Linked DNA regions of Rhinolophus ferrumequinum. The protein of the gene in region 2 purifies or fractionates together with the protein of the main gene of each other region. This does not show direct contact. Links are inferred from orthologs where the notes say so. Each region holds a gene or a part of one and is shown on either strand. Other genes may lie near its edges.

The links.
Region 1: the proteins of CABIN1 (region 2) and UBN1 purify together in Homo sapiens (affinity purification with western blotting; 6 studies listed by BioGRID, with this or other methods). This does not show direct contact. The link is inferred for Rhinolophus ferrumequinum from reciprocal best matches to the Homo sapiens genes CABIN1 and UBN1.

Annotation. Positions count from the first base shown.
Region 1 is NW_022680357.1:5,957,278-5,973,235, forward strand, and holds the start of UBN1 (ubinuclein-1), read left to right. Parts: upstream 1-8,847; 5' UTR 8,848-8,909; intron 8,910-12,278; 5' UTR 12,279-12,317; coding exon 12,318-12,566; intron 12,567-15,713; coding exon 15,714-15,800; intron 15,801-15,958. Other genes in the region: GLYR1 (cytokine-like nuclear factor N-PAC), read right to left, coding at 4,631-4,710, 5,652-5,688, 6,716-6,753. UniProt on the Homo sapiens protein: Acts as a novel regulator of senescence. Involved in the formation of senescence-associated heterochromatin foci (SAHF), which represses expression of proliferation-promoting genes. Binds to proliferation-promoting genes.
Region 2 is NC_046308.1:22,510,462-22,525,534, forward strand, and holds the start of CABIN1 (calcineurin-binding protein cabin-1), read right to left. Parts: upstream 6,167-15,073; 5' UTR 5,726-6,166; intron 1-5,725. Other genes in the region: DDT (D-dopachrome decarboxylase), read right to left, coding at 8,334-8,406, 8,857-9,032, 9,387-9,494; glutathione S-transferase theta-3, read right to left, coding at 11,967-12,161, 12,489-12,665, 14,637-14,787. UniProt on the Homo sapiens protein: May be required for replication-independent chromatin assembly. May serve as a negative regulator of T-cell receptor (TCR) signaling via inhibition of calcineurin. Inhibition of activated calcineurin is dependent on both PKC and calcium signals.

The DNA.
Region 1 (15,958 bases), on a different chromosome or scaffold from region 2:
CCTGTTTCCCCTTAAATTAAAAATATATCATGTAGATATCCTATTCAAGACACCAGTCTATGAACAATCTCCAAAACCCTCACGTGTGTCTCAGACTTCGTACACACTGACCGAGACGGGTGACAGAGAGAGAACACACGTGAGCATAGTCCAAAGGTGAGGACAAGAACAGGGTCAGAAGACGTGGCCTCACTTTTCCACCTGGAATTGGTCAGTAGTACTTAGTAAATCATTTCTAGGCTCCCCACCACAAACCATTGAAAGAGGCTGAGTATTCCTTAAGTGTTACAGCTCCAAATCTAAGCCATTCATAAATCAAGACACCACCCCCCAAAACAAACCAACCCACAAATCAAAAAACAAAAGAAACCACACAAAAAAGAATTAAGCATTTCTCAGTTAATTTCAAGCAATGATTATCATGCAGACATCAACAAAGACTTGCAGATATGATATAGAAGACTTTGTTTCCAAAACTTGAAAACATTCCCAAATGCTGGAAAGGCTTTCTGGATGCGCTGTCTACGCCAAACTGGCCAGCTGCTTCTTTCTGTACCCCTTTCTCTAATTCCGGCATGACACCTGCTCCTGGAGTCCACTGCCTCAGCCCCCAAGGGAGTCACCTGTAGGACAGGAGCTGCTGCTGGCACTGGGAGACGAGAATCCACTCAGCACTCTCTAGGATAGCTGCTGTCCAGCCCTGGCAGAGGGGACACTGGTGGCTCAGTCCAGATACCCGGAGCAGTGGCCCTCACTACCCACTTGGCTCCATTCTCCAACGATTACATGGTGGCGGATGTGGGGAAAGTGTCAATCAGATGCCAGGTGAAAAGAAAGGCATGCTCAGATGGTTGCAAATGGCTATGTTTCTAATTACAAGCAGCAGATTTTTCTAGAAGTTACTTTACTACTCAGACACCTAACACCCAGCCTGTCCCACCTTCTATCTGGCTTGATGTAAAAATACCTCAGGCTGACCTTTTATGACTTAAAATCCACAACTCTCCTGCCTCTTAGTTTCTACACCTACCATTGTTTGCCCACAGTATTCTCTGGTTTGTTTCTGGTGGTTTTGAGCACCTGCAAACTAAATGAACTTCCTCCATTCTGCCGTTCACCGGCACTGACCAAACTTTTAAACTCTGAGCTCAGTTTCTACCTGATGGGCAGCCATCTGTCCAAAGTGGACCCTCATGCACCTGAGACTTAATCTTTGGTTGTGGTCACCTGGTGGAGTTGGCAAAGTTATGCTGAAGTTGTATTTCCCTCTGTCTTTCCATGAAATAGAAAACAGCTCTGGGCAATTCCCGTTGTGGCCATGCAGGCTTGTAGAGTTGAATCCAGACATCTTACTAAGTCCTTCCCTTGACAGGGGAGGCTGGTTAGGAAGGTCTGGTCCTGTCTTCCTAACAGTGGGATGTAGCACAATTTGTTAGATGTTTTGGCAGAGGAAGGGAGAGGAAACATTAGATTTCTAAAAGACTGAAACTACCATTGATCTTAAGGAACAAGCCTTTTTAATAAAGGCCCTTCCTAATGTAAAACAGCCCATCTTTTTTCCTTCTGCATAAGTAATATGTCAGTTTTGAAACTGAACATCTCTGACCGTATGCTATATTCCTCAGGAATACAGGAACAGCCTCCCTGGGTCAGACCCTGTCCACCGAGGTCAGGACCCAGTCACCAGAGGTGCCTCCACCCCAGGATGTGCCGAGAGCACATGGCCCTCTCCCTGACATCAAGCATTGAAGGTGAGGTAGAGTCCAACTTTTTCTGCAGCCACTGATGGCTTTGCCCTTCACGAAGTAGTTCTCATCCCTAAAAAGTCCACTTGCATTTCCTGTCTAAATCACCTCTTAAATGTGTTTCATAAACTATTTCTTCTACTCACTTCTCCTTGTCGAAATATCTGAGAATTTATGAACAAGTCAGTGTTTCTCTCCTTAAGGCCATTCATTATTTCGTAAGTTCTGATTGTGCTTCTTTTGGTCTTTGCTTTTTCACATTAAAGAGTCCTACTCCTTTGTCTGACTTGGTCCCCTTTCGCAGTCTTGACTAGTTCCACCAGACCCCTTTGGGATCACAGACTAGACTGCGCATGTGCTCCTGAAGAGGCACACTATAGTTTTTACACAAAGGTGGAATGACGTAAAAAAAAGAAAAAAGAAGAAAAACAAGAGGGAAGAGTGTATTGTTTTGTGTTCAAAGCCTTTTTGACCAAAAGGCTTTGGCTGATGTCCTTAGGAACCTCTAACTCTCAGGTGCCTTTCTTTTCACACACAGATTCTCTCTCTCATGGGTAGTCTGTGTCTCTCTCACATTTTCCTTACTGAAAGCTACCTGCTTACCAGCTTTTTTTCCTCTTATAACAGATCTATACCCTAACCTAATGTTTGCCGAACACCTGCTGTACACCAAACCACACTATGAGTAAGTGACGCTACTTCGTAACTACAAAGTTAGGAGTATTATTCCCACATGTGGACGAGGATACACGTCCTAGAAAGGTGAAAGAACTTGCCCAAATAAGAAAGCAGGTGGAAGTGGTACCTGAATGCATGTTAGGCTGGTACAAATCCAGAGATCTTTACCCAAAGTAACTGCTACCCAACAATCTGGAGATTTTACCTTCAGATAATATAAAGATACTAAATAAAAACTGCCTTAACACTGATCAGTAAGAACCATTCTCCCTTCAGAGAAGTAGACCCTTACCCTTTGCTCCCTTTCAGCGCGTCAGCTGCCTAGCCAACATAAGCATAGTGACTTAGTGTTTAAATAGCCTTTTACGTGGAACTCTACCAAGAAAATTAAAAAGGCTTAAAGACGTCATATCTAGTAGTTGCCCTGTACCCACTTGCTTATGAATTCCCTCAAAAACACTTTAATTAGAAATCACATCATCACGACCCCCAACACCAGCAGGTTCCTTTTGTGTTCAGGAAGTGCATCCTTTTCACTGGCTTCATCTGGGTGACTGGTTGAGCTCTGATATTCACTCAACTCCAATTTTCTCTGTCTGCACTATTTCTTATACACAGGGACCCAGTTTATTTTTCTAACGTTTCAGCACTTTTTAAAAATTATCATTAGAACACAATGGCTTTCAGGACTGTTGTAATCTGATTAAGGCCCCACTTTCTATGAGTTCCCATTTCTGTTTCAGAATTGGTTAGCTAAACGAGGAAGTACACAAGTTAGGCCAACCATACTGTCTTATTCCTAAGCACAAATTCTTCACCCCAAGCAAGGAATCTCTATCCACACATCCAACTCAACGCCCAGCTGTTCCAGCTGCTTATAGTATCCCCACTGCCCGGAATGCCACTACTGGTCCAAATTCTATCCATCCCCAGAGTTTGATTCCAATTCCATCTCTTACATTAGCTTTTGACCTGCTGTTTTCCACTGATCCCTCTTTGTTCTAGAGCCCTTTAACAAATTACCCGCATCACTCATTCTGCACTTAATCCCATCTGAAATATTTATGTCTTTATCACCTGAGTTCCTGGAAGACGGGGCACCACAACATTCGCTTTCCTGAAGTTCCCTTCGGTGTCAAGCAATGCGGAGTGTGGTTGCAAAATCAGCACTTGTTTTATGCATCGGGACAATCTTTCTTGTGAAATCCATGGCATACCAGAACATTCCCTCTTCCAGAGTGTCTCTGGCTCTCACAGCTCCAGGATAGTGACTCCTTTGAGATACTGCCATCAAAAGGCTGCTAAGTTGGCTTGTGACAGAGAACTGGGCCTGGGTATATCAGTACATCTGTATGGGGCTAGGCAAACTCTAAACCAAGATGAGTAAGCACCCTGACACATAAACTCCTGAGTGAGTGAAGAACAGTTTATGAGATTTTCCTATGGATATTATATATCACTTTCTAGGAATGTGTATTTTAACTATTGGTATTAGCTTTATCAGAAAAGTCACATTTTCCTAACCCAAAATTACATTTTCCTGTAAGAATCATAAACAGAAATACAACTACTTAAAGAAATCAAACCATCTAGCTAGAACTAGGTAATCAACTTGATGTAGTGATGGGAACGCGAAACAAATCATCAGAATCTCAAGCAAATACCTTCTTCCCCACACTGTGATTTCTTATATGGCCTATCAAAGAATCTCATATTAACGATTCTGATTTCAACTCTAGGACAGGGCTAGCTAAATGTTACAACATTAAAGCAAGTCATTTAGTTTCCCAAAAGAAAACAGATTAAACAATTACTTTTATTAAGGTAAATAAAATTTTAGTTTTCACTGTCTAGCTCATGCATGAGCCACACTGATAAACAGCCATTAAATGGGAAACCAAATTGGTCCTATAGGAGGAACTGCCTATGGAGTTGGCAAGAGAGGTGTGAGAAACTCTCAATGTGATTATTATATTTAGAAGGTGGTGAGCCCTAGTTCTCACCTGACTGACACTGTTATTGGCCCCAGGACAATTTCTGCAAGGTAAGAATAGCACCTTTTCTTTAGGTATGAAGCCAGAATGATGCCATTTTATAGACTACCTAGTAGGACTGAACTAGGGTCCACAGAATACTCTCAGAGCAGCTCAGACCCAGGCCAATGCCTAAACAAAGGGAAAGCGAAACTCTTGGTGAGCACTACTCACTGATCCTCTGTTCCAAAAAACTTCACAAAGAAGCACTTCTTTCCACGAGGTTTCTTCAAGTCCTTGGGTGGATTAACAATCTGGGGGATAAAAGGGAAAAAAAGGTTTTTTCCCACCATTCTAAGTTGGTAAGAAAAAAAAAATCAAATAAAACAAAAGAAATGTCTTAAAAAGAAAAAAACCGAGCGCCTAGTATGTATCCAAATTTGGCACTTTTCTACTGAGATGTGTGGAGATGTACAAATATTCCAAAGTTCTCTACATCTAACATGTGGCACATCGTTCAGTAGATACGGTATTCCTTTACTGCAATGCCCCTGTTTTAAAAGCAGTTAAAACTAAGACAAATATCATCCCCTCATCCCATGTGACCCTGTCATCACTGAAGAAATGTAGAGGACACTTTTAAAAATACTTCTGTGAAGGAAGAGTTGAGACAGGTAATAGTGACAAGGAAAGGCAACTGAAGCACTGAAAATACCATATTGCAAGGAGACAGTCTAAAGACATTTCCTGGGCTCCTAGCAAGAATATAAAAACAGAACATTTGGAAAGCTATGACGGATCGCCTCATGCAAAATTTGAAATGCCAACTTCTGCAAAGATGCACTGGAGCAGCACATATGGTAACATAGAAGATTTAAACTTAGTTGGGACAAAAATACTTTGACTTTTCACTAGTCTACATTTAGATTTCTATCTTCCTGGAGAATTTATTTTCTTCTCCTTTCGTTAGATTTAAGTGTAAAGCTAAATTCAAATTAGAATTGATTTCCAGGGTTAAAAACCTCCACAAAACCATCTCTGATTCAAGAAATAAGCATTTAATGAAGATTAAGTGATCTGGTTTATATTATATTGCCTTTTCTAAATGAACTGATGTTCCAGAAGAAAAAATTCTGTTACTTAAAATAGGCAGTTTAACTCAATGCTAGAAATTGAAGGGAATGCATCTTACATTCTCCACCTGTTCAAACCCAACTTCAGATGTCTTCCTTTAGTTCAGTAGCAAGAGACTCACCTTTCCTGGCCAAGGAGGATACCTGCCGAGTTTCCCCCTAGAGAAAACACAGAGAGTCAGCACTTGCCCTGGAAAAGCCAGTCCATCTTCTTCAACCCACTCAACATGCAATTTATTTTCCTAAATCTCCACTTGCATCCTCAAGTGCCAGAACAAAAGCTGGCACACAGGAGTTCTTAATCTGGCTTCCCCAGTTGGACTCAACAGGCCCAAACTCCTCAGAAATGGAATGCAAAATTGTATACCTATGTGCATAAAGTATGTACATTCTTCTGGTGACAAGGGATACAGAACAACAAAACCGCCAAGAGCCACTTGTCTAGAGCCTCCCCGTGACGGGGGTGGGGGCCAGTTTGCTCTGTAAACACAGACTTCCCCTTACAAAGTCTGGTTTAATTCACCGCGAGACCAGCTGGCTTTGCCAAATGCTAATGGAAGCCTTCCTCTGGGTCGAGAAATAAGCTACGCAGCTCGACCGAGGCGGCGACAGTCAGTCTTGGTTCGGGCGGTTGTCTGGGACACAGAAGAAGACCACAAGAGGCACCCAAAACGGCACTGATCACTGCCAAGCCTTCGGTTGTAAAGAAGAAGTCTCCTCTCCATTTCTTCACCGGGCAGCGCCATCAGTCCGGTTTCGACACCCTTGGCCAAGCCGCCCGCAGAGTTCGGTTCCATTGCAACGCTGGTTTTAACGGGCTTGCCGGGGCGAGATGGCCTTGAGGGCTCCCCCGCTTTACAGGGAACCCCAGCAAGACCCCGAGGAACCCGCACCGCGGGTGGCTCCAGAAATGCCCCTCACAGTAGCCGTCGGCGTCCGGGTCCGGAGCTCAGCTCTCTCCCGGGCGGCCTCGGAGCCCGGCCCGCCGCGGCCACCCTCGGCCTCAGTCCCCCGGGGCAGGGCTGCCCCTTCCGCCCGGCGTCGCTCCCAGCACCGGCACCTCGTCTCGCCCTCTCTCCGCGGCCTGGAGCGCCCAGAAAGGCAGCTCCGGGGCTGTCCGCCAACCCCGCGCCCAAAGGAGCAGTTTCCCGTCGCACCTCGCTTGGCCCCGGACGCCCGGACTCACCACACCAAATCGCCGAGCCGCAGACTCACAGCCGCCATCTTACCACCCAACCACCACCGACGCACAGGCCGCCGGGAACTTCAGGTCGCCCCGGCGCCGCCCATTGGGTTGAGTCCGGCCACGTGACGGGGGCCGGCTGTCATCGGCCACGCCGCTGCTCTGACGTCGCCACGCCCGCCGGTGCTTATTGGCCGGCTAGGCGGCACGTGACGCGGGAGCCGCGGTCTCCGCGCGCTGGAGCCGAAAGACTCCCGGCTCCTTTCCCCTCCCTTCGGCTCGTGACAACGAAGCGCCCGGGATCTGAGGCGGCGGCGACGGCGGCTGTGCGGCCGGTCCAGCGCGCAAAGGAGCCGACCCTGCGACCCGCCCCGCCTCCGGACCCTGGTCTCCATTCCCCTCCCCCACGGCGCTTCCGTTACGGCCGTTAGTCCCGCGCGGGCCCCGGGGCCGGCCGCGTCGCCTCGCGGGCAGCTACCCTGACGGACCTCGGCGCGGCCTGGAAGCCAGCCTCCGCCCGTGCCCGGGGCCCCGCACCCGGGGTCCCGCGCCCGGCGGGCTCTGCGTGGCCGCGCCCGGGGGCGAACGGGTCCTTCAGAGCGCGCTTTTTGCCAGCTGCGTCCGGGGAGCGGCTCCGAGCCGGAGCCCGTGTCCGCGCTTCAAGTTCTCCCGGGGCGCCAGTGCAGCCCGCCTCGAGGTTCCGAGTTGATCGGCCGACGTGGAGCCAGAGTCTCTCCACTTCCTCCTGGGCCGGCAGACGGCACGGCCAGCGAGGCTCCCCCGGGCCCGCGGGGACCCAGCCATGGGCCGCGGCGCGGGTTGGCCGCCCGCCGGGAGGCATGGCTCCGGGACCGGCCGCTAGCAGCGCCGCAGCCCGGGCTCCCGGGCCGGCATGAGGACGGTCGCGGGGGGACAAGTGCGGCCCGCGGGGCCGTAGCTTGCGTCGCGCTGGGGACAAAGGTGCGTGTCTTTGTCGGGACCGGGCTCTCACTTAAGCCGAGTTGTAGTTTGACACTTTTGGAGAAGTTAGGAGCAGGTTGTTGTGACAACAGGGAGGCGGATGCCAGGCGTAGTTTCAATACGTGAAAACAAGCCGTTGAATGAGGAACTAGGAACCGTTCACAGAGACTGCCCAAACGTCAGATTCCTGCTAGAAAATAAACATTTTCAAAAAGTCCCATTCCCAATTACAGACCTCAAGGACTCTTAAGTCAAGTGTTGACTTAACTTAGACTGGACTTTTCTTGAGTCGCCGCCTGCTTGAAAAGATTGCAGGTCCACACACATCTATCTCCCTTAGGCGTTTTGTTACACGGAGACTTTGGTTGTATGTGGGATATTTTTGTTTTTGTTTTAGCGAACTGGCTTGTCCACAGCTGGTTTTTCACTGGAATTCAGTTTCCCTAAAGTACTGTCAGTTTTAGGAACTGTCATTTACCGTCTTGAATTGTTTCAAAGACCAACCGATAATTTAAAGCACATTTGTGATTCCAGGAAATAATTTCATAAAATTCAACATATGTTTCTGATTTTAAAACTCTTAAATTTTGAGGATTGAGGGTTATTTTAATGACTTGATAAAAAATGTGAATTTTAAATTAACTTCACACTTGGCCTAGAGGCATTCCCGTTACAGTCAGGAACATGGCAAAGAATATATTGTCTAATATTATCCTGTAAGTTCTAGCCAATGCAGTAAGACCTGAAACAAAAACGAGACACCATTTTTCAGAAAGGAGACAAAATTCTCATTTCTGTGGATGATAGGACAGCCTATTTTGAAAAAAAGCCTATTTTGAAATTCAGTAAAGAAACTAATTAGAAACTCAGCATACAAAATTCAGTTTTTCTATGTTTCACCAATAATTAGCTTGAAAATACAGTAATTGAGAGGACGTTCAACAAAAAAATATATCATTCCTGGGAATAATCTGAGATACAAAAAGAAGCTAGCATTTCTTGGGTAATATCAATTGAGGGTTTTTAAAAGGGATGTTGTTTGTAGAATACTGTGCTTAGAATAAGGTTTAACTCCTTAAAGGTGAGTACAGGCATACCTCGCTTTATTGCACTTAACTTTGTTGCCCTTCACAGATGTTGCGTTTTTTACAAATTGAAGGCAAGACCCTCCACCAGCAAAAAGATTACGACTTGCTTTATTGCGGTTGTCTGGAACGGAACCTGCAGTATCTCTGAGGTATGCCTGTATTTAAATACTTAGGTTTTCTTTTTTTCAATAATTTTTTTTTTTTTTAATATTGGGGAACTGTATTTTTCCAGGGCCCATCAGCTGCAAGTCAAGTCGTTGTTCTTCAGTCAAGTTGTGGAGGGCGCAGGTCAGCTCCAAGTCCAGTCGCTGTTTTCAATCTTTAGTTGCAGGGGCACAGCTCACCATTCCTCTGTGGGAATTGAACTGGCAACCTTGTTAAGAGCTCCTGCTCTAACCAACTGAGCCATCAGGGCGCCCCCTTAGGTTTTCTTAAGGCTTTAAATTTTGCTGACAAATCTTGTTTCATTTACAAATCTAAGAATGTTTTTGTAAAAACAGAAGTACTTCATCTTTGACAGAGCTTCAATTAAGGCACCAGTTTAACAGATTAAATTTTCCTAAACAATAAGCTTTTTATTACAAAGTTAAATTCCCTTAAATGTGTTAAATTGCATTTGAAGTTTTAAATGCTTGTTCTCTCTAATACTTCAAACTTCTAAAACAGGGAACTTATAAACCAAATAGTAAAATCTTTCCAAGGACTTAGCTTTTGTAAGGCTAATAAATGTATAATGGTAAGATTCTTTTAAAAGAATATTTTTGAACCTAGTTATATTTTCTTAAGGATTTCAAATTAAAATTGTAAGTCTGACGTCAGACATTAATATGTCTGAATCTCTTAAACGTTTCTAATGGCCTAGTAACAAGCAATAGCAGTTATCACGATGACTAAAAATCTAAAAGGCTATAGGTTTGACTTACATGATTCTCTAGTATTATATCTATAACTTCTCAGGCCTGCAAAGTCACTTAAACAACTAAGGGAAGCAGTTTTACTATCTAGGTGGATTGAAGTTACAATGTCTAAAATTTGGGCCAGGTCGTTTCTTGGCCTTTTGGCTAAGATCAAGTGTAAAATTTGGGCCAGGATAAGGGTATATTTTAAAATTACTGCCTGGATTGGGGCAGGAACCTGGTTGTCACTTCTAGGATGACCTTCCTGTATCCCATCGGTTACTTGCAGATTCTCTTTTTATAGTGAGACTTTGCCTGTCTTATCGATGAGGGTAACTTTCAAGCCTTCAACCTTTAGCTGAAATTTATTTTCACAACCCAAGTGTATCACAAATGTCCTGGGGGCCTCGAAAGTTTCCTTTAGAGGAATTTCTTTCAACGTCTTAATGCCCGATGGTCTTTTGCACCACCAACCTGTTTTGCTGCTAATCACTTTGCTGCCTCATTAGCATTATTTTAACTATTTTTAGATATTTTACTCCTTTGTCTGGTATTATAGATCACAGTTTATCGTCACAATGGAAAGAATGAGAATTGCGTGTACTATATAAATATCTTTATATATGTATGGGAATATATGATATAAATCTTTTTGAATTCATATTTATGATTCATTTACAGTTAAAATGCAGTGAGTTTTTTGGGAACTTGTCAAACTGATTCTAAAATTGATCTGAAATAATAAATAGGCTGGAATAGCCAAGTATTTTAAAAGAAGAAGAATAAAGATGAATGTTAAAATCAAGATGTTAAAATATACCATAAAATTTCTTAAAACAATATGGTACTGGTTAAGGAATGTTTAGCTACTACATCAATATGATAGGATGGATTTCAGAAATAGACCTTAACTCTCACTGTGTTAATTGATTTCAAGGTTTTTTTCCCCAAAATGTGTCAAAAATCCACAAAAAATAAAAAGTTGATATTTTGACTATTTTATGCATTTAATAACATTTTGAGCTGCTTTGTACATAAATGACATTTTTATTTTAAACATTTATTATGTGGTGATAAATTTATCATTACCTTTAATTTTAGCAAAAACCACTCAAAGCATACTAAGTGGTATCAATTAGATATAAGTATAGATATATTAGAATCTAATGGCATTGATGACATAAAAATTTATTACAAAATGTTACACAATATGGCATACAAAACATCTTTGTTGTTGATAGTGCAAGCCACAGGAAAACACATCCGAATGTCACAGCAAAAGAGTTAAGATATCTGAGACGTTATACATAGTATATACCAAATCAGCAGGGCAAAGAAGAATTATTTAGTGACTGGTGCTGGGAAGAAACCAAGTTAGAGCCTTACCTCTCTCCTTATAAGCAGAGTAAATTCAACGTGAAAGTTAGATCTATAAAAGACTGGCTAGGTAAATTCTTACATACGAATTACCTGGTTGGAGAAGGACAGTTTAGGCACAAAAGAAATGGGAGAAATTATAAGGGAAAAGAGCCTAGTTTACTGCATAAAAAGTTAAAATTTCTTTCATCATACCTCTGAGCAAACTTAAACAGAAAATAACAATGAAGAAAATGCATTTGTAAGAGATATGACAAATGTTACATAGGTAATATATATTATATATCTACAATATATCAGAAGCCCTTAAAAATGAACAAAAAAGACTTAATTTTTTTCAACCATTTCCTTAATGCTGGACATTCAGGTTGCTTTTATCATTTTTCCTATACAAACAAGGATGCAATGAATATCCTTTTTGAAGCCATATGATAAGTGCACAGCATGATGGATTTTCACAAACTCAGTACACTCATGCAACCTTTACCTCATGCAGACTTTACCTGCTAAGACATTCACACTAGAATGTCAGTTTCAAAAAGCAGGACACAAATCATACATGAAGCACAAAATACATATGCATGTGTATATGTAGTATATTCGCATATTTATATTCTGTAAACCCTTGGAATTCTGGAGTTTACAATATAAGCTGACCATTTCCAAGCAACTTTGAAGGTCTTTGGCATGTGATAATTTGTCGCTTGGTCGAGGCCCAAGTTTGCGTGGTGAGAGGCTGGTGCATTAGGAAGTGAGCCCTAGCCACGTCACTCCTAAGACAATGCCCAGGGTAGGCATTACTCTGAGCTGGTGAAAACTTTGTCATTCTGAAGAATGGCCCTGAATGAAAGTAAACTTCTAGTGAAGAAAATAAGGAGGTCTTAAAAAAGAGGTCATAATTCTTAGCTAGAAAATAAAAACGATTGGATAGATTAAATGAAAAACAGTATTTTCTAGGGTTCTGTGCAATTTTGAGGATTCTTTAAGGGTCTGTCAGCATGGGTTCTCTAATGTCAAGGATTTAGTGAATATGGAAAAAGACTGGAAGGAAGTATGCTAAACAGTGATTATCTGAAAGGATTTGGGTGCTTTTCATTTATATATGTATATATGGCAAGGTAAATTGAACAATGGATTCTTATTGACACTGAAATTCTTTTAAACTTAAATCTGTATAACCGAACGAGAAAAATGATCATTTTTATCATCTTGGTTTGACCTGGCCCTTCTTTTCAATGTTAACAGAAGCCATGCAGTGACACCTGCTAAGACTTGTTGGTAGCCATGTCGGAGCCCCACAGGGTCCAGTTCACCTCTCTACCAGGTTCTCTGAATCCTGCATTTTTGAAGAAATCCCGGAAAGAGGAGGTTGGGGGAGCAGAGCAGCATCAGGACTCTGAGCCTGCTGCAGCAGCTGTTCGGATTACACTCACCCTCTTTGAGCCAGATCACAAACGCTGCCCAGAGTTCTTCTACCCAGAGCTGGTGAAGAACATACGCGGGAAGGTGAAAGGCCTTCAACCCGGAGACAAGGTACCCCCCAGTGGCTCCAGACTCCCTGCAGGTGTAATCTTAGGCACCTGTGCAAATGGGACTTCCGGAGGGTGGAAACAAGACTAGAGAGGCTTTGGCTGTCCCACGATCACAGCACCCAGCCCAAAGCAAGCACCAGGTTTGCTGGTTTTACCTCTGGGCATGAAGAGATAAAATTCTTTCTAGAACCATTCTCCTGATTTATGCTGGAGAAAATGTATGGTGTATCCAAGGCTAATTTGAATTATGGTTAATTAAATGAAAGAAACAATTTTTTTTTTACACCAAGGCTACAAATATTACAGGTAAATGTGAACAGTCTGTGGCTGTCCAGTGCTGGATTTCATGCTGGACATTTTTCTTTTCCAAGGGACTCTCACTTTGCCTCGTGTAAGGGTAGATGAGAAAAGACACATAACTGCTCATGTCTTCTCAACACAGTAATACACTGGATAGTTTCTTTACCTGGAGGGATAGAAACCCATTTTTGTGGGGTTTTTCCAAGTTACTTTTTTTTTTTTGGCAAGAATTAGGTTGTAGTCTTCTGGGCTTTTGAGAATCAGTTTGATTTCTCAAATGTTTTTTAAATAGTCTATTTATTTTCCTGGCAGATTTATATTACTTTTTATTTTTAGTATGGCACTTCTCAAACATGCACAAAGTAGAGAGGATAGTATAATAAGTCCCATATACCCATCACCCCGCTTCAACTATTACTGATGTTTTGGCCAGTCATTAACATTAAAAAATTTGTATAAAGTTTTTATTGAATTACATACATAAAAGAAGTGCCCACATGATAAATGCACAGCTTGATGGATTTTCACAAACTCAGCACACTCATGCAACCTTTACCCTGGATCACAAAATACATTTTCCAGGCCATGAGAAACTTTCCTCATGCCTTCCCAAAATACTACTCTGCCCTGAAGGGTAACAATTGGCCTGATTTCTAACCGCTTACATTAGTTTTGCATGTTCTTGTATTTTATTTAGATGGAATCATACAGTATGAGCAGGAGCTAGGTGAAGAGTATTTATAAGCGCCTACTGTATACCTGTTCACTAGACGAGGCTTCGAGGGAAGGTTAGTTGAGTCCCACACTACAGCATTTCATTCTCTAGAATGGCTCTTAGTCAAATGAGGGTTAGGCTAGTACCTGGCTCACAGGCTGTCAGGGTGGATGAGCTCATATAGGTACAGTTTGTAGTGGAGTGTCGGTGGCCAGTGCACCTTTAGTCTAATTCATGATTGTGCTGTTTGAGGAGAGTGCCTTTGGTTAGAAGGATTATCCAGTTTTCTTTGCTCAGATAAAAATGTGTTTCCTTGATTAAGATCTTGTTGGCTGAATGGAAGCCAACTGAATCTGTACCAAGGGTTAACCTGTTGTATGATGTCAGTGGACAGGATGAGAAAATGTAATTTCAAATGTATTGATAATCCCTTTTCCAAAGTAGGGATAACATCGTCTTCCTTGAGAGGAGGAGACAGTAGCAGGGTTTGGTTAAGGTATTTATTTGGGGGCTCAAACCAGATCAGTAGGCCAAATGAAATTGGAACTCTCGTGCTCCGATTTCACCTTTTTGGGGGACTCCAGATGTTCTTCCGCATTGTAGAAAAATGCATGTAGCACACACAGAGAACTTTGGATTCAGTTTCAGGGGATTCACTCCTTCAGATTGAGAACTTCTGAATCGATGTGTTTATTCTGTAGTGTTCAAAGCACAATGTAATCTGACACATTCATGTATTCATTCATTTAGCATATATTTCTTATGATGTGAAGGCACTGCTAGATGCTGAGGACTATATAAAGGTAGAGAAGCTGCTGTCCCAGCCTTAAAGGAACTTGCAATCTTGTAGATGTTTTAGGAGAATTATACCAACACAGTAACAGGAGTCACAATGTGGTAATTGTTTAAGTCGGATATAAGTGCAAGCCCTGGAGAGCTTGGACAGAGGAGAGCTTATAACCCAGATACGGTGTTTGGACAGAGCTGGACCTTCATACGTTCAGGAGGTAGTAGTTACGGGAATACTGCTGTTTATAAGGCACTAAGGAGTACACATCAAATCCAGTGCTGCTCCAGATTAGTGGGATTTCTTAAAATTATTTGAACCACTTAAAGTTATATGTGATCATTGTAGAAAAATTAGAAGATGCAGATAAGCACATGTTTTAAAAACCACCCATTTGTGGTACATTATATGTATGTTCTCTAATATCTCATTCTACATATATTATACCCTGAATCATTTAACTGATCCCTAATGGGTGAGTGGGGTTTCAGTAGGCAGAGATGAGAGGGTGGGATAAGAGAGTTTTGTTTTCAAACAAGACTCTAATCTTTAGTGTTTTTGGCCTACTCTGAAGTCTTAAGCGTGTTTAGTACAGGAGTCTTTCATTATTAAAATTAAAATTTCTTGCAAAGAAGTTCAAGGTCCAATTCTGGAAAATCTTCATGGAAAAAATGCAAGAGTAAGTTTATGGAATAGAAATAAGCTGTAAAACTGCATGAAAATATTTGGAATGAGTATTGAGGTTCAGAGAAAAGAGGAAATTCCTGATCCTTCAAGATAAGTGTCCAAGGAAAGGGACTGCCATGAACCTGGGTTTGATTTTTGGTAGCACTGAGAGAAGAACAAATTCATACCACTCTTCTAACCAGTTAGACAAAATAGCTTTCACAAATTTGTGCTACATTCAGTGGGTTCTTAACCTTTTTGAGCCACTGACTGCTTTGGAAGTCTTGTGAAGCCTTTCTTAGAAGAATGTTTTTAAATGCATAAAATAAGTTTTAGGGTGACGAAGGAAACCAGCTACATTAAAACCCAAGTCTATACAGGTTGAGCATCCCCGACTGAAGGCCCTTTGCCATATTTGGAGCCTGACAGGACTTAGTGCTATAATAGGCAATTGTAGGTCTTCAATCAAGTTTTGTTGAATTACATGAATGGAAACTTTTCTTTCTTAAACAACGAAGGTAAACACCGATGAGAAGGTAGCATGTATTTCTACCTTGTCTTTTCTGAAAACAGTTGTGTTTATTATGTACTTTATGGTGTTGAGTAGTCAGTGAGTGTACTATGAATAGGGTTATGGAAATTTTTTGTGACTCCTATTTTGTGGAATGGTCTCTTTACAGAAGAAAGATCTCTCGGATCCTTTCAACGATGAAGAAAAGGAAAGGCATAAAGTGGAAGCCCTTGCCCGGAAATTTGAAGAAAAATATGTAAGGTTTCTCTCTTGGGCAATAAAACAACGTCGTTGGGTGGGAAAGGTTTTTTAGACATTTCAGCATTCCTTGAGTGGATTATCATCTAGTCCACACTGATGTGGAAACAAGTGTAGAGCTGGGAGAGAACAAAATGCTGTTATTAAGCAAATGCA
Region 2 (15,073 bases):
GATGTTCCACATCATTAGTCATGAAAGAAATATGAATTAAAATCATGATGAGCTACTACTACACACCTACTAGAATGGCCAAATTTTTTGAAAACCTGATAATGCCAAGTCCCAGTGAGGACACAGAGCAACAAGAGCTTTCATACACCATTGACAGAAATGGAAAATGGTATACAGCCATGCTGGAAAACAATTTCTTATAAAGTTAAACACACACTTACCACACGACACAGCAATCTCACTCCTATTTACCTTGAGAAATGTTGACACAAAACCTGTACATAAATATTTCTAGCAGCTACATTCAAATCACCAAAAACTGGAAACAACCCAAACATCCTACAATATGTGAATGGACAAACTGCTGTGATAGAGCATACAACGGAATACTGCTCAGTAAGAATACTACTTATACAATGGAACGCTACTACAAATTAAAAGACACAAATGATACTTGGATGAATCTCAAATGCATTATGCTGAGTGAAAGAAGCCAGTATCCACAGGTTGCATATTGTGTGATTCCATTTACATGACATTCCTGAAAAGACAAAACTATAGTAACGAAGACCATGTCACTGCCAGCCAGTGGTAAGAGAAGGGTGTCTATAAAGGGGTACATTTTGAGGGTGATGGAACTGTTTTGTATCCTCATGTAGTGAAGGTTACACACTTCTATAAATGTGCTAAAAAGTCAGAGAGCTGTACATTCCCAAAATAAGAGGTCAAATAAAAATTTAACTTATTGAATTAAATGTAATAAATATAAAAATATTTTAACAAAAATAAATACTTTTTTTTAAAAGTGCAGGGGAGCAATCTGGATATCAGACAAAGTACAATTCAAGTCCAAATATATTAACTGTGACAAAAGGTACAATTCACATTGATGATATAACACTTAAAAACATACACCAAATAACACAGCAACCCACTTTAAAAAGCAAAAACCACAGGAGATGCATAAATACAAACTAATAATAAGAGACTTTCATTCATCACTCTCAGTACAAGGCAGATCAAGTGGAGAAAAAAGTTAGAAGATAGAAGATCTAAACAATAAAGTGAATAGAGGAGCTCTTATAGGTGCTTATCAAATTCTACACCCTGATAATGGAGACTACATATTCCTTTCCAGTGCTCACAGCACATTCACCAAAATAGCAACAACAAAAAAGATCATATATTAGGTCACAAAGAAAACACCTTCTATAAAGTAAAAATACTAAAAACAACACTCTCAGGTCACAATACATTAAAACTAAAATTTACTAACACCACCATTACCAACAACAATTTGGTCCTTCTAGCCAAAATATTAAGAACCTCCTATTAAACAACTTCTGGGTGAAAGGAAATGCAACTAACATTGGAGAAATTTAAAGAAATGCTAACAATGAAAACACACATATCGCATGTGTGAAATACAATGACATCATCTAAGGGAGAAAAATCATATGATTACCTCCATAGAAGAGAAAGCCTTTGACAAAATTCAACATTCATTCATGAGGAAAAAGAACACACACACACACAAGAATACAGGAATTGAGAGATAGTTTCTTAACATAATTAGATAGATTAGATAGATAGATAGATAGATAGATAGATAGATAGATAGATAGATAGATAGATGATAGATCTTAGTTCTAAAGTCAAAATCTTATATAATGGAGAAACGCTACAGGCATTTCCATTAACAACAGGAACAAAGCAAGGATACCCATTACGTCTGCTACTATATACCACTGTATTAGGAGTATTCAAAATGCAATTAAAAAAGGAAAACCAATTAGAAGTATAGAATGGGTAAAGAAGAAGTAAAACTATTATTAAATGCAGATAATATAAAACCCCAAAATCAATGATAAAACTTAATACTAAACGAACTCAATGAAGTAGCATGATATAAAATTAACATACAAAAATCAATAGCCTTCACATACTCAAACAGAAGACATTATGGTAAAGAAAAAATTCCATTCGCTATAGCAACAAGATGATTAAATACTTAAGAATAAAGTTAATAAAGTGAACAAGAAATGTGGAACCTATGCATAGAAAATTTTAAAACACTACCAAAAGACACAAAAGTAAACTTGAACAAATGGAAACACATCCTCTGTTCTTGGACAGAACTCAACATTATAAAGATGTCAGTTCTCCCTACATTAATTTATAAATTCAATGCAATTCCAGTAAAAATACCAAGATACCAGATAAGCTGACACTACAGTTTATACGGAAAAACAAAAATGTAAGCATAGCTAGGAAAACAGTGGAAAAGAAAAGTTCCAAGAAGGGATGAGTCCTACCAGACATTAAGGCATACTATATAAAGCCTTAATAATTAAAACAGTGGAACTGGTACGTACATAAAGAAAGCACGTCTAGAATTAGACCCGAGTACATATGGAAATTTAAAATATGGCAAAGGTGGCATCTCAAATCACTGAGGTCAAGATGAACTTTGTAACAAGCGTTGCTGGGACAAATTGGTAGCCATTTGGAAATGATAAAATTAGATTGATACCTCAGACCATATACATAAATAATCTCCAAGTGGAGTAAGGATCGAAATGAAAAAGATGAAACCATACAAGTACTAGCCGAAAACATGGTTGAATTCCTCTTTATTGTATAGCGAAAGGCTTTCTCACTATGATTTAAAATCCAGAGGCAGTAAAAGAAAGGATTGACAAACTTAACTACATTAAAAATGTTTTAAATTTTGCATGACAGGAAAAAAAAATCACACACAAAAACAAAAATAAACCAGTGGGACTACATCAAACTAAAAAGCTTCTGCACAGCAAAAGAAATGAACAACAAAATGAAAAGACAATCTATAAAACGGGGAAAAAATATCCTCAAACCATTTATCTGATAAGGTTTACTATCCAAAATCAATAAGCAAATCATACAAACTCAATAACCAAAAAAAAATAATCCAATTAAAAATGGACAAAGAACGTGAATCCACATTTTACCAAAGAAAATATGTGAATGACCAAAATATGTAAATGACATTAAAAAGGTACTCAACATCACTAATCTTTAGAGAAATGCAAATCAAAACCACAATGTGGTATCACCTCACGCCTATTAGAATAGCTAGCATCAAAAAGACAAGCGATAACAAGTGCTGGCAAGAATGTGGAGAAAAGGGAATGCTTGTCACTGTTGGTGGGATTGTAAATTGGTACAGCTACAATGGAACACAGTATGGAGGTTCCTCAGAAAATTAAAAACAGATCATATAAACCAACTATTCCTCTACTTGGAATATATCCTAAGGAAACAAAAACACTGTATCGAAGAGATATCTGTGCCCCCAGGTTCGTAGCAGCATTACCTATAACAGCCAAGACCAAAGTGTCCATCAACAGATGAATGGACAAAGTACAGATATACAATGGAATATTATTTAGCCATAAAAAATAAATCCTGGCATTTGCAACAACATGGATGAACCTTGAGGACATTATCCTAAGTGAAATAAGTCAGACAGAGAAACACAAATACTGTATGATCTCACTTATACGTGAAACCAACAAAAACAAAAACGAAAAAAAAAAAAAAACTCATAGAAAAAGAGATCAGATTTGTGGTTACCAGAGATGGGAATGGGAGAGAAGAAATTGGACGAAGGTAGTCAAAAGATACAAACTTCTAGTTGTAAGATAAATACGTACTAGGGGTGTAATTAATGTACAACATGATAACTACAGCTAACACTGTTGTATGGTATATTTGAAAGTCACTAAAAGAGTAGATCCTAAGACTTCTCATCACAAGGAAAGTAGTTTTTTGAATCTATATATGATGCATGTTAACTAAGTTTATTGTGATAATCATTTCACAATATATGTAAGTCAAATAACTATGCTAGACACCTTAAACTTATACAGTGCTTGCTATATGTCAATTATATCTCAATAAAACTGGAAAATTTAAAAATTTTTCTTAAAAATCCAAAAGGAGTCAAAAGACAACTGATATGTTGGAAGAAAATATTGGCAACATACACCACAAAGAACTAATATTCCTAATATATAAAGAGCTCTTAAAAACTGAGGGACACAGCATTATTCACAATAGCCAAAATATGGAAGCAATCCAAGTGTCCTTTGACAGATGAATGGATAAACAAAATGTGGTGTGTATATACAATGGAATATTATTCAGCCTTAAAAAAGAAAGACATTTCAACACATGCTACAACACGGATGAACCTTGAACACATTATGCGAAGTGAAACAAGTCAGACACAAAAGGACAAATACTATATGATTCCATTTATATGAGACACCTAGTATAGGCAAATCCAGAGACAGAAAGTAGAATGGTGGTTGCCAAGGACTGGGAGAGGGAAGAATGGAGAGTTATTGTTTAATGGGTACAGAGTTTTAGTTTGGGAAAATGAGAAAAAGTTCTGGAGATGAATGGTGGGGATGGCTGCCAACAATGTGGATGTACTTAGTGCCATGGAAAGGTACATTAATGTAAATATAGCTTAAATGGTACATTTCATGTAAAGTGTATTTTACCAGAATTTAAAAAAAAAAAAAAAAAAAAAAAAACCCTGAGGGCAGAAAAAGAAAAACCTGATAGAAAAATGGGGAAAACATACGAGCAATTTACCAAAAAAGACACACACTGGCTCTCAAACATATGAAAATATGTTCAAACTCACTTATAATTAGAGAAATGCAAATGAAAACAGCACTGAAACACCATTTGTCACCTATCACTGGCAAAAATGAAAGTACCACAGCACACTCTGTTGGTGAGGTTGTGGGGAAACAGGAACTATTGTTATACATTGTGGATGGGAATGCAGCTTGGTACAACCCCTTCCGCAGGGAAATTCGACGACAGGCAAAATTACATATGCAATTGCCCAGCATTTCCACTTCTCAGAAATCTACCCTGAAGATTTACCTCCAACAACAGGAAAATACGTATGCACAGGGTTATTCACTGCAGCATTGTTTGTAATTGCAAGATATTGGGAAAAACCTAAATGGCTATAGATAGTAGAGTGGATGAATAAATTATGGTACATGCACACAATGAAGCAATATACTACTAAAATTAAAATGAAGGTATGCTCATAGCAGCATTATTCATAAAAACCATAAAGTGGAAACAAATCAAATGTCCATCAACTGATGAATAAATAAAATGTGGTATACCCATACAATGGAATATTATTCAGCCATAAAAATACTGACAACATGGATTAAACCATGAAAACAGTACACTAAGAAAGCAGTCACAAACCACATATTGTATGATCCCCTTTATATGAAATGTCCACAGGCAAATCTATATAGACAGATAGAAATATTTTTATATTTACAACAAAAGTTTGCCAACTCCAAACGAGACCACTCTAAGGATATTTTAGTTCTAACTAGTTATTAATCACACACAGAAGGAACCTTTCGCCGCACGGAATCCCAGTGCCCCATGGTTACGACCTCTAGTAACACTGGTCCCAAAGAATTACGTGGCTCCCACAAAGCCACTTGTGCAGACAACTGCGAGTGTCAACTCTATCTAGCCCGGCCAGGCTGCACCAGGGAAACAGTGCAGTTAAGATTTTTCAGTCTGGAGTCGGGCTGACCCACTGGTTTGCTGGGGGACTTTGGCCAAGTCACTTCACCTTCTCTCGACCTCAGTTTCCATTCCTGTACATGACGCTGATAACAGCACTCACCTCGCAGGGCTGCAGTGAAGGTGAAGTGAAAGGACGCGCGCGAGTCAAGGGTTACGCCGGGCTTCGCACCGGCAAACGCCGAATCAATGGTAGCTCCAGTTGTTGTCACTGTAAACCACTCACGAGGCCGGAGCCGGTCCTAGGTACCCCAGGGCGGCGGCAAAAGCCGTGAAGAGGCCTGCGGGGCAGCCGGGAAGCCTGGCCTCGTTGCTCCCGCTCTCCGGCCTCGGTTTCCCCTACTGTAGCACAGGAGCTACCCAGAAACCCCCTGCGTCCACAGTAGCCTCGACCCTGCGCCCGCAGGGCCTCAGGCCCGCGACCCCGCTGCCGCCTTAGGCTTAGCAGAGACCTGCCCCCACACCGAAGACCTCTCCCAAACCCGTTGCCCGGGAATTCACCAGGCGTCTCCCCGGCAACAGCCCGTCCGCCCCGACCCCCGCACCAGCCGGCTGCGCGCCTAACAACAAGGAGCACTCCCATTGGCTCCGGTGCCGGCTCCGCCAGCCAATCAGTGAGGGCGCACGCGCCGTTCTCCTGCTGGCCGGCTACCAAAAACCCTGCGGAAGGCGTCCGACGCGGTCCGGAGCAGCCTGGTGTAGGGTTGCGACTTTTCCGGAGTGTAGGCTTCGTTCCTTGTGTCGTTGTGGCTCGGAGCGCCAGCTTGCGATCGGACTTTCGGCTCCACCACTTGTACTACTTGGAAAGCGCCGAGCTCGGGGCCTGGCCCCGAACGGTCGCTAAATGACGGGCCGTGTTGTTGGTACAACCGGAGGCAGGTGCTCTGAAAGCAACGGAAACTTGGGAAACACGAGGGAAACGGTTACGACCCTTCCCCTTCACATTCCTTGCCTCACCTCTTTCTGATAAGGATTTGAAGCCCGAAAGGCACAGATAACCATCAACTATTGAAACAAAGGGGAAAAGAAACCAAGACCTGGTAAATGAATGAGCTGGAGAGACAGAATTCCAGAGCCCAACTCTGAAGGGTTTCTGACAAGGTCTCGGGCTGAGAGAGGTTACTCTCTTGGGAGCTAATAGTTATAGAGAAGGGCTTCACACTGGTTGAAATGCATAGCTACTTGAGTCCAGCAAGAATGGCTTACATAGCAATGAATGTTATAGCTTTCTCTTTGACCTTAACGACGGTAAAATCACTGTGAAGCACTCATAGAGTCAGCTCCATACAATAAAGCTTCACTGATATGCCAGAAACTACAAAATAATTGAGTCATCAACCTTGATTTTGACAGTATAGCCTTGGGGGGCCAGGGACAGTGAACAAAAGCATAAACAAATGATTTTAAAGTTTCATGGATAACATGCAGGCTTGGATGCAGGTCCCACTCCTAGGTTGTACCTTGAAAGATGTGTGGCAAGGGTTTGGACGTGAGAAAAAGTGCAGGCTACCCAGGGGCTGGAGGCAGCATCGTGTCACCAGGGTGTAAAGCTCAGGGTCAGAGTGGGGAGAGATAATGCTGGAGGGGCCAGTCCCCACAGCCAACCGATGACATCATTCTCATCAGAGTGGTAATAGATTTAAGGTGGAGAGACCAGCTAGAAGGCTATTACCTTATAGTCCTGTCAAAGGTGCCTCTTTAGCCACGTTAACTATTCATTCACATTCAACCCACATTCTCGGAGCCCCTCAGGGAAGCAGGACTCCCATGTTGGCAGAAGGAATAAATGCAGAAACAGTTGGGACAGGTTGCCAGGGGAAGGAACTCCAAGCCCTAGCTTTTAATGAGAGTTCTCAGCAGTGGTCTGGTCCAAACACAGCAGGCAGAGGCACCTTCCATTGGAAACTAACTTAAATGAGACTGAAAAAAATCTCAATTTGGTATTTCACTGGTACACCAAAGACAAGGGTGAAACACAGTGCCCATACAATGTTTATCCTCTGATATGTGAAAGCACGATATGGTATTTCGATGGGGGAGGGAGATCCCTTTCATTCAGTTTCCAGTGGCAGACACTGCATTTCTAGGTTTGCCATTCTGGGGCATGGGTTTCACATAGCTAGAGAATTCTCAACAAGACTCATGGGAGAAGATGGAGCTTGGTAATGCCAGGGAAGGTCCCTGAAGCCCAACCCGCCTGGCTTCCCTGCCAGGCAAAGCAGTCTATGGGCAGGGAACTGCCCAGGCCGAGGACAGCAACATCTGGTCAGCAGAGTCTGCAGGAAAGCCCAGGCTGTCAGCGTCTCCCCAGAAGCCTGCACATGGGAATGGAGAGCAGGGCCTTCAGCATGAGCCCTCCACCCTCTGATTTGAGCAGCCTGAATACGATACATGAAAGAGCAGCCCTGAAGTTAGGAAACATCCCACCTCCCAGGTTCCCTAAGGTCCCCACCTCATAAACCAACCCTGCTCCCCAGGGTAGCCCAGCATGCGTTGGAGGGGTAAAGGGAGATAAAGAAGTCATGTTTGAAAGACAAAGCTCTTTTCATTTATTTGGCATGAGGATGGGGAAGAAGAGGACTGTGAGATCACAGGCCTGTCTGCATGTGGGGGTACCAGAAACTGGAATCCACCACGCCCTCACTCTGCCAGGCAGGCCTCTCGGGACGAGGTGGCCAACTCTCAGATGCCCTGGATATCCTCCGTGCCAATCACAAAAAGGTCATGACCGTCCCCTTCTTGCCAATCTGCCAGGCCTCCAGGGGGAAAAAGCGGATAACTATCCTTCAGGAGACAGAAAAAGATGTCATCAGCTCCTTGGCTAATGACTCATTCCAAGACTCATAGGCTAGGCACTCCCACCATGGGCTCCCAGACCAGCCTGCCTTAGCCCACCAGGCATTTTGCAAGTCTGCCTCACCCCATTAATGTTTTCCCCAGAACCCCCAACAGGGCAGCAGGCATGTCAGGGGCTGGATGGTGTCCGTACAGCAGCGTGGCCCACCCAGGACCACACTCAACATAGCCAGGACTGCATTCAATTCTGCTAGCAGTCTGAAGGTGGACCCACCACTAGGGGGCCTCAGGGGTCAAGGGACTCCAGGGCACTAGAGCTTTCTTGGGCAAGGTGAAGAATTTACTTTTTGCCCCAACCTTAGAAGGGACCCTGAGACAGGATCACTGCCCCCGGTCGTGCAGAAATCCCTCGAGTGTCCTCTCCCTGCCTCTACGCACCGGTCCTGGTCCAGTTTCAGCTCCTTGGTGAGGAACTCGAAGAAGCGGGCGCTGTGGCCGCGGTTCTCCTCCGCTGTGCCCACCACACCGATGGAGGAGACAAGAAGCTGTGCGCAAGGCTCGGCCGAGCCGTTTACCGCCATGGCCAGGCCAGGACGCACGGTCACGTTCACGCGCTGCAGGGGACACGAAAGTTTCACCAGAAGCTGATGCAGGCCAGGCTCACGCTCAGGGCCCAAAAGCGTGGGATCGAAGACGCGCGGACCCCGCAGGGTCAGGGTTAGGGGCATGGACTGGGGTCCTTGGAGGGCACGTCAGAGTCATGGCTAGGGAAGGCAATACCGAGCGGGTGGGGGTGGGGGTGGGGGTGGGACTGAGAGATCATAGAGAGCGGAAGGTCAGTTTGGCGGGTGGTGGGCGGGGGCCCTTGGGAGGAGTCGGGGTCTTGGTAGTTAAGTAGGGGCGTGGACAGAGCCGGACCCCTGGTCCATCAACCTCCCCCAGCCGCGTGCTCCCCGGCCCACGCTCACGTCCTCGGGTTTGGCCAGGATGGCGGCGGTGGCCGCGCAGAGCCTCTTCTCCAGCCCCGCGGGCACGCGGCCAGCAGGCAAGTTCGTGTCCAGCTCAACGAACGGCATGTCGGCGGAAAGATGGCTAAGGTGCCGCAGCGGAGGAAAAACCCGCGGAGACCAGGTCGGTGTTCCCAAGACCGGTATTAAGGAAAAGGGCGGGGCGCCGCGGAAACCGAGCTCCTCATTGGCTGTGCAGGCACACAGCACCTACTGACTGGCTGCCTAGGCTGCACCCCTCAACCGCTGCAGACAACCTTCGTGTGCTCTGGCACAGATTTCCGGAAGTCCTAATGCCCCGCCAGCCCGGTGTAACCCCACCCCCTAACGAGACATTGGCTGAGCCCTGGCCGCACCAGCCCCGCCTCCGATCCAGCCACACTGTCCGACGTTTTCCGTCTCCTGTGGCTTTCCAAAGTGGTAGTCTCCTGCTGCCTGTCCCAAATTTAGATGGAGGTCTGAAAAGCGCCCCCTTCACACGCAAACACACCTGTAGGGGCCCTCCCTAGGATCTACCTTAATAACGTTACATCGTCAGAGAATTAAAATTTTTTTGAATGAGTTGCCACCACTTCAGGTTCAGTATAAAAACGTGTGCTTCTCTTGATCAGGAGACCTGGTAGCACGAGTGTGTGACACGTGGGGCTGGGCAAAGATCCTCGGTTTACTGCATCCCTGCCTGGACCCCGCGGACATCAGACATCATCCTTTGTGTTGTCTTCTGCCTGTAGCAACCTTGCCTCAGAGTGAGAAACTGTCCACCAGAGGGCAGGAGCCAGGTCCCCAGTCCAATTATCAGCAATATTTATGGCACCCTATATTTTCATAAGCAAAACAAAAGGTGTTATTTAAAACGTGGAAATCTTTTGTTATGACTAACCATGGTACTCTCATCAGTGTTTTGAAGTTGTCTGATTTGTAAATGAAAATATAATTGAAACTATGTGGGTGTATATGGACAATTTCAATTACACATCTAAAATTCTACACGGTCAATTAAGTTTACCAACTCATCCTAGAAAAAGTGCTACATACCTCATTGCTGAATATCACTATTGTTACCTTCGAAGTACTCCCCTTGGGAAGATATGCACTGATGCCAGCTCCTAGTCCACCCTTCAAAGCAGTTTTGGAACTCTTTTTCTGAAATGGCCATCAGAACTGTCATAGTATTATCCTTGATGTCCTTAATGTCATCAAAATGCCTTCCTTTCAATATTTCCTTTATCTTTGGATAAAGAAAGAAGTCATTGGTAGCCAGATGAGGTGAGTAGGAAGGGTGTTCCAATACAGTTATTTGTTTACTGGCTAAAAACTCCCTCACAGACAGTGCCATGTGAGTGGTGCATTGTCGTGATGCAAGAGCCATGAATTGTTGGTGAAAAGTTCAGGTCATCTAACTTTTTCACGCAGCCTTTTCAGGACTTCCAAATAGTAAACATGGTTTAACTGTCCAGTCGGTACAAATTCATAATGAATAATCCCTCTGATATCAAAAAAGGTTAGCAACATCATTGCAACCAGTTCATGAACTTAATTGTCAGATCTTGTAAGTGTGCATACTAAATAGCTTCCATGGGAAGGCAGGTAGGCCAAGAGGCTCTGTCTGTTCATGACCCTGTCCCATTACCAGTTTATTGGATGACTCAGATATCAGAGAATCTGGTACACAAGACAGGTAGGTTGTGACAGTCCTGAAGGGAAAGAGCAAGGACAGGTGGAAAATCTAGAACCCAGAATGGGGCATGGAGACGACAGTGGTCAAGGTTACAAGTAGGCCTAGGAGAGCAAGGCTTCTCAGCAACACCTGGAGGGCCAGGAAATAACCTGGACCTTCCCTGACTGCAAGAAGTTTCATGCACCAACCTGAACCCCACTCGGAGACAGTGTCACTCCAGAGACCCAAGAGACGGAGGCCATTCCTAACTCAAACATCTCTTCACAGTGTCACCCCCATCTGTGACACCTGCTCAGCCCAGGGGGCAGAGAACCAGCTTCCTGCCAGGACAGAGGGAGGGAAGCACTAGTGCAGAGTGACAAGTGCCAAAAGATGGAGGGTGGGGGGATAAAGCAGGCAAAGAAGGTAAAGAGGGGCCCTGTAAGCAAAGGAATCAGCATGAGCCAAGCCCAGGAGGTTGAGGAGAAAGCTGGGGTGTGTTGGGGCGGGGAGGGGTGCTGGAAAGTGATGGGTGCAACCAGAAGAGGGCAGCCTGGAGGGGTGGGAGCTTTGCCTGGATGCAAAGTTCAATGACCTGTACTATAGCCTCAGGGCAGTGAGGCAAGACGGAAAGTTTCAAGAGGACAGATAGGGTCAAATACATGTTTACTAAAGCTCTGTCCAGAGGTCACATGGAAGTTGAAGTGGAAAGGGCAGGAGTAGAGTGAGAAGACAAACAAAAGGAATGCAGGCTTGCTGCATGGAGTAACTGGGGACCAGAGACTGTGCAGAGTGTCTTGCTCATGGCCTAGGAGAGAGGCAGCTCCATCTCTTTATTCTGACAACAGTTTCCATTTGGTGATCTGCAGAGGCCCCACCCCTAATCACCGCAACAAAACCTGCACCAAGGGCTTTAGCATCTCCTTCATGGCAGTGTCTGCTGGGGGCAGGTCTTTGGCCTTCATGACAACTGCATGGGCCTCCTGGAAGAGGTCCTCCCCCACTGCGGCCTCCACACGCTTGTACCAGGCGGCCAGTTTGGGTCGGCTTTTGAAGATTTGGCAGCCGGCACTGACGGGCTATCGGAAGAGGGAGCCAGGTGGTAGGGCTGGGCATGGTTAAGCACAAGGTAGCATGACCTGGTTTAGGAATCTATCAGGTGGATTTTCCCTCCTCTGCCCCACATTTGATAAGCTGAGGGTCCTCTCCCAGGAGACACTGAGAAGCTCCTCAATATCCCTGCAGGGTGGGGCTCTGAAGTCCCATTTTACAGGTGAGGACACTGAGTCTCAGCGGAGAGACTTATCCAGGGTCCCACAGCCACAAAGGGAGACATGAGATGGTACATTGGCTCCCTCCCAGGACACCCCACTTCCCGGTGGGTCACCCCACCCCACAGTACTCACATGCATCAGTTCTGTGATAGCCACCAAATCAGCCACTGAGATATGGGGCCCCGTAAGGAAGTCCTGGTCCTTCAAGAACTTGTCCTCAAGCAGCTGCAGGCAGCTGTCCAGCTCAGCCAGAGTAGATGCCAATGTCTCAGGGGGCACCCGTTCACCCAGGAACACAGGGAACATCATCTGGTGGGTGGGCAGGCAGGGAGAGGGCTGAGGTTCAGCCCAAAGCCCAATCTGGTTCTGTTCTCATCTAATCGATCACCAGTCCTTTGGATTTCTTCTCACTGCTGCCCACTCCTTTCCACCCACGGCCACCACCTGCCCAGGCCTCATCTCCTACTCATGGAGGGACAGCCTCCACCTCTCCCTGGGTCCTCACACATGGCAGCCAGCGGAATCCTTCTGCAGTCTCCGTCTGCCCATATCTTCTCCCTGTATGAAGCCTTCCATGGCTCCCACTGCCCTCCCCACAAAGACCTCACCACCAGGCTCTCACCAGTGCAGCTGCCATCCTATCCCCACTCCCTACCCCACCCAGACTTCTCAAATGGGAATGTGCCTGCGAATCCGTCTGGGATGTGATTCAATTCAAGTGCGCATTCTTAATCAACATGCTTGGGCGGAGCCTGAGCCTGCATCTCCACTGAGCTGCCAGGCGATGCTGTCATTCCTGGTCCATGGATCACACGTTGAGGAGCAAGTCTACACTCTCTCCTCAAATGCAACAGACTTCTGTCCCCACCAACTTGAGGGGGCTCCTCTCCCAGGCCCTAGAGGCTCAAGGAAGACACTTTCAAGGCAATGGAAGCCTATTTTTTGCCAAATGGCCCTTCAGAACAGGGGTACCCTACCTGCAGCAATGTGAGCCTGCCTTCTCGTGCTCCCTCACATACATAGGGCACCTGCTGTGCGCCAGTACTTTACAAATAATTACTCAGAGTACACATTTCAAAAATACCTGCACATGTGATAAATAAAAATGGTATGTGCATGCTATTTTTTCTTTTTTTTTAAACTTTTTAATAATTGGATTCCATTTGCCTGGTATTAGTTTTGTTTGTTTGTTTAATAAATTTTATTGGGGGACAGTGTTTCTCCAGGGCCCATCAGCTCCAAGTCGTTGTCCTTCAATCTAGTTGTGGAGGGCACAGCTCAACTCCAAGTCCAGTCAACATTTTCAATCTTTAGTTGCAGGGGGTGCAGCCCACCATCCCATGCGGGAGTTGAACCAGCAACCTTGTTGTTGTGAGCTTGCGCTCTAACCAACTGAGCCATCTGGCAGCCCCCCCTTTTTTTTTCATTCAAGCGTGTTTTTCCAGGACCCATCAGCTCCAAGTCAAGTAGTTGTTTCAATGTACTGTGTTTCCCCAAAAATAAGACCTTGCCGGACAATCAGCTCTAATGCGTCTTTTGGAGCAAAAATTAATATAAGACCCGATAGTATTATACTATATTATATATTATTATATTTATATTATGTTATATTATATTATATTCCCAGTCTTATATTATAGTAGAATAAGACCGGGTCTTATATTAATTTTTGCTCCAAAAGACGCATTAGAGCTGACTGTCTGGCTAGGTCTTATTTTCAGGGAAACACTGTAGTTGTAGAAGGCGCAGCTCACAGTGGCCCATGTGGGGATCGAACCAGCAACCTTGTTATTAAGAGCACCACGCTCTAACCAACTGAACTAACCGGCCGCCCCATGTGCATGCTATTTTTAAGTGCATTTACTTGAGTTTTACTGAGGTGAAACGGGTTTTCATCCATTTATTGACCATTTCTCTCTGTCCTTCCATTAAATCCCTGCTGGTGTCCTTTGCCTATTTTCCTTCTGTGTCTTTGTCTAACGGGTTTCTAAGAACATCTTAAATATTAAGAATGTTACTTCTTTCTAACTTATCTTTGCCAAGATCTTTCCCAGGTTTTAGTGTGTTTTAAATTGAATTGTTTTTGTCCTTAGACAAAATTTCATTGCATGGGTAAAGTCAATGAGGTACTTCTTTAAGTCTTCCATTGCTCTTAGGCTTAGAAATCCTTGCAGACCCAGAAACCACATCAACACTTAATGAAACGTCCCCTCATTTCTTCCTATTTTGACTTTTTTTCACTTACCATCCTGGGAGGGGTCCCTGCCCCCTGGGGCTCACCTTCTGCCACATGGCCCGGGTGCAGCTACTCCGCAGGGCTGTGTGCTGCCATGCCAAGTACTCATCCACGCGGGCACGGGCCTGCAGGTCCTCAGGGTACCAGTGGTCGGGGGCCTTGTACTTGCGGCTCAGATACAGCAGGATGGCCACACTGGGAGGCACAGCGGAAGGGAGGGAGATGTCCCAGTCACTTTTCAGCTACTCCACAGGGGCCAGGCCCTGGGTGGGGCAGGCCTCTGCTCCTGACATGTCTTTCCCCAACTTGTGTGAGTGGATCATTTCACGACCCCCATGGTGCTGAGCAGGAATGTGAGGCTCAGAGAGTTTAGGTGACTGCCCAAGGTCACGTAGCTCTATATTGAGCCATCCCATCATCTGAACTAAGGGCACCAAGTGAAAAACAGAATGTCATGGGACTTCAGAAAGGGGTGAGCTGT